3 linked regions of the Danio rerio genome follow. The protein of the gene in region 1 purifies or fractionates together with the protein of each later gene. This does not show direct contact. Links are inferred from orthologs where the notes say so. Each region holds a gene or a part of one and is shown in the gene's direction. Other genes may lie near its edges. The genes, in order: nck1b, pdgfrb and abl1.

The links.
Region 2: the proteins of nck1b (region 1) and pdgfrb purify together in Homo sapiens (affinity purification with western blotting; 3 studies listed by BioGRID and IntAct, with this or other methods). This does not show direct contact. The link is inferred for Danio rerio from reciprocal best matches to the Homo sapiens genes NCK1 and PDGFRB.
Region 3: the proteins of nck1b (region 1) and abl1 purify together in Homo sapiens (affinity purification with western blotting; 3 studies listed by BioGRID). This does not show direct contact. The link is inferred for Danio rerio from reciprocal best matches to the Homo sapiens genes NCK1 and ABL1.

What each region holds. Positions count from the first base shown.
Region 1 is NC_133199.1:3,531,873-3,535,528, reverse strand, and holds part of nck1b (SH2/SH3 adapter protein Nck1), read left to right. Parts: intron 1-1,721; coding exon 1,722-2,440; intron 2,441-3,656. UniProt on the Homo sapiens protein: Adapter protein which associates with tyrosine-phosphorylated growth factor receptors, such as KDR and PDGFRB, or their cellular substrates. Maintains low levels of EIF2S1 phosphorylation by promoting its dephosphorylation by PP1.
Region 2 is NC_133189.1:3,709,054-3,712,709, reverse strand, and holds part of pdgfrb (platelet-derived growth factor receptor beta), read left to right. Parts: intron 1-2,826; coding exon 2,827-3,035; intron 3,036-3,656. UniProt on the Homo sapiens protein: Tyrosine-protein kinase that acts as a cell-surface receptor for homodimeric PDGFB and PDGFD and for heterodimers formed by PDGFA and PDGFB, and plays an essential role in the regulation of embryonic development, cell proliferation, survival, differentiation, chemotaxis and migration.
Region 3 is NC_133180.1:78,533,873-78,537,528, forward strand, and holds part of abl1 (tyrosine-protein kinase ABL1), read left to right. Parts: intron 1-384; coding exon 385-569; intron 570-991; coding exon 992-1,144; intron 1,145-1,529; coding exon 1,530-1,619; intron 1,620-1,861; coding exon 1,862-1,990; intron 1,991-2,068; coding exon 2,069-3,630; 3' UTR 3,631-3,656. UniProt on the Homo sapiens protein: Non-receptor tyrosine-protein kinase that plays a role in many key processes linked to cell growth and survival such as cytoskeleton remodeling in response to extracellular stimuli, cell motility and adhesion, receptor endocytosis, autophagy, DNA damage response and apoptosis.

The sequences.
Region 1 (3,656 bases):
GAGATAATTGAATCAAGTCTATACTCAAGGAGGAAGACCAAAATCCTGAGCATAATCTGATGAGTGCTGGAATGATGTTTGTGATTGGCTGGTTTTGAAACTGGACCAGTGCCCATGTTTACTAAGAGAGGACTCATTGCTCGAGCAGACGGGAGCTGATAGCTACTGTGTACCCCTGTCAGTGTGAACGCACAAGCCTCGCCGCACTGTAACATGTGTTTGGACAAGTTCTCCTTTTACTCATGCCCTGCCTGTTGGTGCCTGTATCAAAATACAATGCTCTTTGGTTTCACAGATCATTTCGACAAGAATGGAATGAGTGCAGGGTGCGGAGTGATGAAATTACTCCCTGAAGAGACTGTCTCAACATAGTTTTCATTGAAAAATGACTTTAGTTAAACGTGTTGCTATTAAGTGAAATTTGCAATCAGTGAGTTTCATCTACTGAGTTGGAAGTAGTTCATTATATAAGAAAAACAGGGCCACAGTGGCTTCTCCTACTGCAGAAAACTCTGATATTTAACGCCAGTGTATCAGGAAGTGACCAATTTTTTCTCTTTGTCTCCCTGGATGGAAATGGTGCTTATTTGCAAATGATTATTGAGATTGTCCAAAGCGATTGGATTGCTAGCGTCATAATGAGCTTTTGGTTGCTATAAAAGGAACTCTTGTAGTCAACTATTAGAGGCAATAGTAAAATTTACAATGAAGCAGGTAAACATTACACTGTCTTGTACCTTGTTTTAGGGCTGCTCGATTTTGGGAAAAATCATAATCACGATTATTCAAAACGGTTATCAGTTGAAGTCAAAATTATTCACACTCCTGTGAATTTATTTTTATATATAAATTAAAATTACAGTATTTCCTATAATATTTTTTCTTCTCAAGAAAGGCTTATTTGTTTTATTTCAGCTAGAAAAAATCAGGTTTAAATTTTGGAAACCTATTTTAATAGCTCTATTTTTAACCTCCTTAAGCAATTCATATTTTTAATTGTCTGCAGAGGAAACTCCTGTTATATATTGACTTGCCTATTTACCCTAATTAAGCCTTTGAATGTCACTTTAGGCTGAATACTAGTATCTTCAGATTATCTAGTCTAATATCATGTACTGTCATCATAGCAAAGATATAAGAAATTAGTTATTAGAAATGAGTTATTAAATCTGTTATGTTTAAACTGTGCTTTAAGCATCTTCACAGTAAGAAAAACACTTTAGCTACAAAAGTCCTTCAGTCAAGAGCAGTGAGGGATTTTGTCCTTTTGTTTTTTATTGATAATAAAAACAGAAGGCAGTAGGTAGCGATTACTTATGGTAGCTGGATATGATGGAATAATTGTTCATCTTGATTAATGGTTTTTCATAATCGTTAGAAGGCAAAATCAAAATCAGATTTTTGATTAATTGCACAGCCCTACCTTGTTTTGCCCACTTTCGACAAGTAGTACCTGGAGTTTTCTTCACAGAGGTGTACCCTTTATGCCAATTCCAGAATGAAGCAACAAATTTACTAAAAAGATTATGATTTGATGGCAAATAAAACAAACTTGAACAGCAACTGCCACATTGGAAATGCACCATGTTCATTTCCACAACGTTAACATCTGACCTATTTAGACGCATTGAAAACATCTTAGGCTGAAACCCCAAGAAGTAGAGTGCAAAGAAAGGACTAAATAGTGAAATACTTAATTGTACCTCTTTTTATGTTTGCAGGGATTGGAAAGGTGAAAAGGAAAACAGGCATGCGTGAAACAGCGTCCAATGCAGACTCTGATTTCTACCCAGACAACGGTGAACGTCTGTATGACCTTAACCTCCCTGCGCTGGTCAAGTTCAGCTATGCGGCCGAGCGGGAAGATGAGTTATCGTTGGTTAAAGGAACGAGGGTTATCGTGATGGAGAAGTGCAGTGATGGCTGGTGGAGGGGAAGCTACAACGGCCGTTCGGGATGGTTCCCTTCCAACTACGTGACAGAGGACGCAGATGGATCAGCGAGCAATGATTCTGCTGGACTTTCAGACAAACTGTCTGCTGTTGTTCAAAGTGCGAATGGCAACCGTGTGCTGCACACAGTACAAGCACTCTACCCGTTCAGCTCGGGTAACGATGAAGAGCTGAACTTTGAGAAGGGGGAGGTTATGGATGTAGTGGAGAAGCCAGAAAATGACCCAGAGTGGTGGAAGTGTCGTAAGTCAGATGGGCAGATGGGACTTGTTCCGAAGAACTACGTGACTGTTCTGCAGGAGTCGCACAACTCGGCCAGCATGCCGGGGCCACCCACACCTGACTGTGACTACATTGAGCCTTCATCCAGCGGCCGCTTCGCAGGAAAGCAGTGGTACTACGGGAAGGTGACACGCCACCAAGCAGAGGTGGCGCTTAACCAGAGGGGCTCAGAGGGAGACTTCCTCATCCGGGACAGCGAGTCCTCGGTAAGTAGACAGAAGTTTTATACTTCTATTCTCACGTCATTCAATTGTTAGTCAGTTCTACCTTGTGCCTGGAATGAGAGGGTGCTTCTCAATCAGATCTCTTGTTCAGTAGTCAGGGCAATGATCTAGGAGTTTATTCCCAGAAGAGCCCATATTTAAGACTCTTTATTGCAAAATTCTTCTGTTTAGAAAGCACCACGATTTTCATGGTGCCTCTTGCGAAGTTCTGATGTTGTTTATAAATTCCAGTGTTGATGTTGTACAACGAGGATGGTTTTCATGGCACGTTCAGTTTCCCAATGTGAACTGAACCAAGCTTCTTATTTTTTCTTACCAGTGCCAAATTTGTGTCCACAACCTACTAATCCACTAAACCAGAGATGCCCAAACTAGGGCTCACGAGCCAAAGTTGGCCCTTGTAACCTTTGATTTGGCCCACCATCCCATCAGAAAAAGGAGTGTGAATGATGGGCAGGGTTGGGGCGAATGATTTTTACAGAGATTGTCATTTCTAGTTTAAAGTAATCTTTTGTGAATGTTTGTTTTAATGCTGAGCTACAAAAAAGCCAACTAAAATTAAATGTTTAATTATAAAAACATAAATAAATACTTTGTAAAAATGTAATTACTATCATGCGACAAATAGAGGACAATGCAGAGGACATCTGCGAGCAAATCAAGGCAAAATCAGGTGCAGCCTGACTAGTGTATCTCCATTCTGTTATAAATGAGACTGTTTTACTGTAGTAAGTTCATTATAAAACAGAAAATAAATGTATACTGCATTAGTTAGTACAAAGCAATGTGTTTTAGTTATTTTTAAATACTATTTATTAAATTGGGAAGTAATTATGGCAGCTATATTTACCTATGACCCACTAGCCTCAATCTAGTTTGGTAACTCGATAAGAAATGTTTGGGCACCCCTGCACTAAACCTACTAAATGACCTACTAAACCTCAGGAGTTAGGGAGTTGATTGAGTTGCACCCACAATTTTAACAATTATTTAAACGCTTTGTTTGGCTGTTCATGTACACGAGATTTTTGGAGAGCCCTAAAAATGCTAACTTAGAAAAAAAGCCTTAACAAACTAACCAACATTGAAAACAATTGGCAGGGCATGCATAATACAGCACTTTTAGTCAGATCCGTGTAAACTAGAAAAAAAGGTTTGATCTTGTTTTTCACGTTAAAAGTGTGACACTTTGTCATCT
Region 2 (3,656 bases), on another chromosome or scaffold:
AGATGCATGGATGGATGGATTAATAAATTATGTGTAGATGGATTCATGGATGGATGTATAAATGAATGATATATAGATTGATGGATGGATGGATTGATGGATGTATTAAAGAATGATATATGAATGGATGGATGGATGGATGGATGGATGATGGATGGATGGATGGAGGATAGACAGACAGACAGACAGACAGGTAGATAGATGGATGGATGGATGGATGGATGGATGGATGGATTGTTACATGCATGGATGGATGTATTAATGGATGATATATAGATGGGTGGATTGATGAATGGATGGATGGATGGATGGATGGATGGATGGATAGATGCATGGATGGATGGATTAATAAATTATGTGTAGATGGATTCATGGATGGATGTATAAATGAATGATATATAGATGAATGGATGGATGGATTGATGGATGGATGGATGGATGGATGTATTAAAGAATGATATATGAATGGATGGATGGATGGATGGATGGATGATGGATGATGGATGGATGGATGGATGGAGGATAGACAGACAGACAGACAGGTAGATAGATAGATAGATAGATAGATGGATGGATGGATGCATGGATGGATGTATTATTGGATGATATATAGATTGATGGATGGATGAAGGATATATAGATGGATGGATTGATAAATGGATGAATGATATATAGATGGATGGATGGATGGATGGATTAATAAATGATAAATGATGGAAACTGGATAGTGAACTAGATTATCACAATATTCCACCGTTAATGTCTCTCATTCATATTTAATGTGAGCTGTTTGCGAGACGAGTAAATGTAAAGCTGATGAGTTTGCACATGCTCTCAGAAAGCACTATATAAACACACACACACACACACACACACATCAGCGTAATTGATCAGGATGTGTGTCCATCAGCCTGTGCAGAGTGAGGACTGTACATCATCTAAGCGCTGTGGCTGAGCTGATTAAAACACCCAAGAGCTGCACACACACACACACACACACACACACACACACAAACTGCTGAATGAATAATAAATACAGCACATATGCTAAAGCAGCTATTAGCACACACCTCCGCCTGTCACTGCACACTTGTTCATGGGTGGAGGCACTTATGAGCGCTCTGCTGGATATTAGCAGCTCAGTATAGTGTATTATCCTGTGGGTTTGTTCTGGTTTGCAACAAAAGTGCAAATTTGACTTTTGATGTCTTTTAATGATGGGTTCTAATGGCATATTAGCGTACTATGTTTGCTCTATGTGTACAGTACACACACTATGTGGACTCTGTGCATTATATGAAGCAATGGACCCTTTTCACATTTCTGGAATTTACTCTCAGCCCCATAGACATTGCATTAGAAACACCTCTCACATCAGGTAATTTGTTTTTTGTAATTTGACGCAAAGATAATATAATGCGTACGTAAATACATATAAATGTACATTTTTTTAGAAGATTGTGATGACCGATAAACGCGTCATAACATAGTTTCTGTTTAACGCAGAGCAGATGTTTTTCAGCACATTTCTAAACATAATAGTTTTAATAACTCATTTCATTCATTCATTCATTTTCTTGTCGACTTAGTCCCTTTATTAATCCGGGGTCGCCACAGCGGAATGAACCGGCAACTTATCCAGCAAGTTTTTACACAGCGGATGCGCTTCCAGCCACAATCCATCTCTTGGAAACATCCACACACACTCTCATACACTACAGACAATTTAGCCTACCCAATTCACCTGTACCGCATGTCTTTGGACAGTGGGGGAAACCAGAGCACGCGGAGGAAACCCACGCGAACGCAGGGAGAACATGCAAACTCCAAACAGAAATGCCAGCTGAGCCGAGAATTGAACCAGCGACCCCACCTTCTTGCTGTAAGGCGTCAGCACTACCTACTGCGCCACTACCTTGCCCCTAACTCATTTCTAATGCCAGCTAGTGTGTGCTGTGCAGGTAAACCTCCCTCTTCTGACCTCTAAAGGTGCTCTAGCGACATATGATAGAGGCCATGGTCTTTAGCCTCCTTGGTAGAGCAACCCACTCCCATGCAGAAGGTCGCCGGCTCGATACTTGCTCAGAACGTGTTGGGTGGCGTAGGACTGGCGGGGTTACATTGGTGCTGTGACCCGGATGGGAGTGAGGTTTATGGGGGAGAGTGTAACGGAGGCCAGCTAGTGTGTACTGTGCAGGTAAACCTCCCTCTTCTGGCCTCTAAAGGTGCTCTAGCGACAGATGCTAGAGGCCATGGTCTTTAGCCTCCTTGGTAGAGCAACCGACTCCCATGCGGAAGGTCGCCGGCTCGATACCAGCTCAGAGCGAGTTGGGTAGCGTAGGACTGGCGGCTTTACACTAATAACTGATTTATTTTCTCTTTGTCATGATAACAGTAAATAATATTTGACTTGATATTTTTCAAGACACTTCTATACAGCTTAAAGTGACATTTAAATGCTTAACTAGGTTAATTAGGTTACCTAGGCAGGTTAGTGCATTTAGGCAAGTTATTGTATAACAGTGATTTGTTCTGTAGCAAGTCGAGAAAAAATATAGCTTAAAGTGGCTAATAATTTTGTCCTTAAAATGTTATTAAAAAAATTTAAAACTGCTATATTCTAGCTAAAATAAAACAAATAAGACTTTCTCCAGAAGAAGAAATATTATCAGAAATACTGTGAAAATTTCATTGCTCTGCTAAACATCATTTGAAAAATATATTTAAAAAAAAAGAAAAAAAACTCAAAGGGGGGCTAATAATTCTTACTTAAACTGTACATCATTTTTCATAATATTCATAGAGTGCACTGTTTTTTTTCACTAGGTGCAGTAACAGAAGTGCTGTATGGAGCCCTCTAGTGGAGGATCCAGAGAGCGTCACCATCCAGACTAATGTCACCTACAACAGCACACGCAAGATCCACCAGGTGCTTAGTCAGGTGACGCTGGTCCGGCCGCAGTTGCTCACCATCCGCTGTGAGGCCAGCAATGAGAGAGGAGCCCGAGCCCGGGACATCAGACTGGTCAACAGCAGTAAGTACTGTCTGCGCATGTGTGTGTGTCCTATGAGGGTTTAAGGGTAGGGCTGGGGAAAGAAGACAGAATATATAATGTGTGCAGTATGAAATCATTATGTCTACGGAGTGTGTGTGTGTGTGTGTGTGTGTGTGTGTGTGTGTGTGTGTGTGTGTGTGTGTGTGTGTGTGTGTGTGAGACAGGAGGGTGTTAAAGCCTCTTTGTGTGAATGTGTGAAATGAGGACCTACTGAATGGAGCGGCACCCGTGGAGATCAAACACAGAGTGACTTTGGTTTGAATCCCATGATCCTCTAGTGCTGCTTTCATTAGCGCCCTGAATGCGGCGTGAAACCCGTTGAGCTCATTGAGAACCCGATACTGGTTCAGCCGTGAGAAAACCCCTGAAACACAAACACCTGCCAAAGCTGCGGGCTTCCTATTGACTTTATATATGAGCCTACAGTCCAGTATATGAGCCACACTGCCTCGATTTAAAGTCAACATCATCCCTTCAGTTTTCTCCCATTGCCATGGTGCTGTTCTCACAGATTGCACTTGTATAATCATAATTTCATTAATATAAAGGAGGGAAAGAAAGAAATTATTGCATTGCATGACAGATCCTTTTTGATTTATC
Region 3 (3,656 bases), on another chromosome or scaffold:
CCTGCAGCAAAACAGCCCCACAACATGATGCTGCCGCCCCCATACTGCACAGTTGGGATGGTGTTGCTAGGCTTGTAAGCTTTCCCCTTTGTCCTCATATTGCTCGTTATGGCCAAACAGTTCAATCTTACTCCATCAGAGCACAGGACTTGTCTCCAAACATTAGTCTTTTCCCAGTGTCAATTATCTAATGGTAATCTGGCTTTGTTGTTGATTCCGGCTTGTTGATTTTCCCATGTTGCTCATCATCGAGAATCTTTTTTCCACTCTTGATCTTCTAACCAAAATCTGATCCATATTTGGCCGCCTCATCCAGCTAAAATCTTGACTATAGTGGGACTTCACTACAATTAGAGTGAATTGACGGTCTGGTTTATCTTTCAGGGATCTGGCAGCCCGTAACTGCTTGGTCGGGGAAAACAACCTGGTTAAAGTGGCAGATTTTGGGCTAAGCCGGCTGATGACGGGAGACACATACACAGCCCACGCTGGAGCAAAGTTCCCCATTAAATGGACTGCGCCGGAGAGTCTGGCCTATAACAAGTTCTCCATCAAGTCAGACGTGTGGGGTACGCATGGACAGACAAAAGAACACACTTCCACTGTTACAAATGATGTTTACAGTAGTTTTATGTTTTCATTGTGTTTTCTCTCATTTACCTTCTTTTGTCTCAACATTTAACTCATTTTATTTAGTTGTCTTACTTTTTTCAAGTTATTTATAAACTGTACTGCAAATGTAGTTAATGGAGCCTCTCGTTTTTGTGGCTTCAGGCATTGTTGGGATATATTTGAATGCTGTTTTAATGCATAAACAATTAATAAATTGCTATGCATATTATTGATGGAGAAGGTATTACCTTTTCAAAATTATATTTGTATATAATATAAAATAATTAATTAAAGTGTTTTCGCCATGTCCACTGAGCCATCTTTCCACATTCAGACATGCATGTGTGAGAAACTGATCCTCTGATTTGACCTCCTTCAGCATTTGGAGTCCTGCTTTGGGAGATCGCCACCTATGGGATGTCTCCGTATCCAGGAATCGACCTGTCTCAGGTGTATGAGCTGCTGGAGAAAGACTACCGCATGGACAGACCCGAGGGATGCCCAGAGAAAGTCTATGAGCTCATGAGGGCCTGTAAGCAGATCCTTCTACACAATCTCTGAAAGAAAGAGTAGACAAAGTGACACCCTATCATGCACACTGTGCAATGCAAGTGTTGTTTAGCTTTTATCAGCTCAGCGCAGGTTTCATTTTAACGTCCTGTGCCCTGTTTATATGGCAAATCTGCTTTGGTGCAATTGAAGCTTGCTTCTAAAGGTAATTGAATCTGCTTGGTTTAATGCATATTACACTCAAAGCACACCCATGACTCTTTAACGACGTAAGGACATCCCTTTTAGACCAGTTTTCCCATCCTTAAAATTGTAAAAGTGGATTCAGACTTGCTCCAAGTGCATTTATATCGTTAAAATGGAGCCCAGTGAGTAAACCTGTATGACTGTAGTGTTTCTGTCTTTAGGTTGGAGGTGGAACCCTGCCGAGCGCCCTTCTTTTGCTGAGACCCATCAGGCGTTCGAGACCATGTTTCAAGAGTCCAGTATCTCTGATGGTATGAGCTTTCAAAATCTTTAATCAAACTGTTTTGAATAATAACACCATGTGTGTGTATTTATGGCCATGTGGAGTCTGATTTGAGGTTACTGTCTTACTGTCAACTCTAAATTACAATTAGTAACGGATTCAGATGTTCCCTATCTATGCATTCTGCACTATTTTACATTAATAATGCATTCAGTTTACTGTAAATCTGTACCTCTCTGGTGGCTCATCCTCATTCTTGTTGCATTGCAGAGGTGGAGAAAGAGTTGGGGAAAAAAGGAAAGAAGCTGACCCTGGGACCAATACAGCAGGCGCCAGAACTTCCAACTAAAACCAGGACACTACGAAGACCTACAGACGGCAGGGATGGGGACAGTCCCGGTAAGCTCTTCTCTCTCAGACCTCTGCTTATTTTCGTTATTATCGAGCAGTTGTACTGATGAACTAAACTTTCTCCAGACGCAGCCGAGGCCGAGGTCACTGGACCCCCGATGATGCCGAGGCCACTCCTAGATAGCAACCTGAATGAAGATGATCGGCTCCAGTCTAAAGATAATAAGGATAAATTTCGAATGAATCCCTTCAGTTATATTAAGAAAAAGAAGAGGACGGCTCCGGCGCCCCCAAAGCGCAGCAGCTCCTTTGGGAAGATGGACGGACACCTAGACCGTAGAGGATTGGGTACTGACTGCAGGGAGGATTTCAGCAACGGGTCTTCCACCAATGATGCCTTAAACAGCATTGACCCTTGCAAATTAGTTGGGTCAAACAGTACCACGACCATCGGGGTCACCAACGGAGCTCCAGTGTATCCCGGTCAGCTCTTCCCATCTCATCCACGGAAAAAGGGCACTACATCGGGTGGTGGAGGGAAGCTTGCCACGACTCCACCTCCAGAGGAGGACTCCATGTCAAACTCCAAACGCTTCCTACGATCTTCTTCTTCCTCCAGCATGCCTCCAGGCTCTGATCGCTTCGAATGGAAGTCCGTAACCCTGCCGCGGGACATTCAGTCAACACACTTTGATTCTAACACATTCAGAGGCAAGCCAGCTTTACCTCGTAAGAGCTGCATGCCACGAGGTGGCACGCTTACCCCACCACCACGCCTTCCCAAGAAAAGTGAAGATGTTTCAGACGAAGTCTTCAAGGACTCTGAGTCTAGTCCTGGATCAAGTCCTTTAACTCTGACTCCCAAGCTAGGCCGCCGACCCCAAACAGAAAGCTCCAAAACTAGTGCCTTACAAACAGAGGTATTAAAACCCAATGTGCTTCCACCTCTTGGAGACGAAGGCAGACCTCGAAGACTCAAACTGTCCTCTGAAATCCCAGGACAGAGAGAGCGGGAGAAGGGGAAGTTTGCGAAACCCAAACCCGCTCCCCCTCCTCCTCCGGTGTCCAGTGCCAAATCTGGAAAGACCTCAAGGAGTCCGACTTTTGAGGTGTCTTCAGATACCAAAGTCAAGAGTTCACTAGACTCCGCAGATCAAGGCAAGGCTAGTCTATCCCAAGAAAGTGCTAAAAAGTTGCCCAAAAATGGCTCAAAGGTAAACCCCTCGAAGGCAGGTGCGACTGCTCCTCTACCTGGAATGGGAGCCAGTCCTGTGGTCGGGGATCCGGGATCCAGCTTCATCCCACTGATGACGACGCGACGTTCACTGAGGAAGGCTCCAGCACGGCAGCCATCAGAGCGACTCTCCAGCTCCACCATCACTCGAGACATGCTGTTGGAGAGCTCTGAGCTCCTGCGTACCGCCATTGCACGTGTCTCCGAGCAGACCGGCAGCCACAGCGCTGTCCTGGAGGCGGGGAAAAATCTGTCCAAGTACTGCGTCAGCTACGTGGAGTCCATCCAGCAGATGCGGAACAAGTTTGCTTTCCGCGAAGCCATCAATAAGCTGGAGAGCAGCCTGCGCGAGCTGCAGATCTGCCCCGCGGCCACCGGCACCGCAAACACTCCGCAGGACTTCTCAAAGCTGCTGTGCTCCGTCAAGGAGATCAGCGACATCGTGCAGAGGTAGCAGAGAACGGCGCCACTGGAAACACA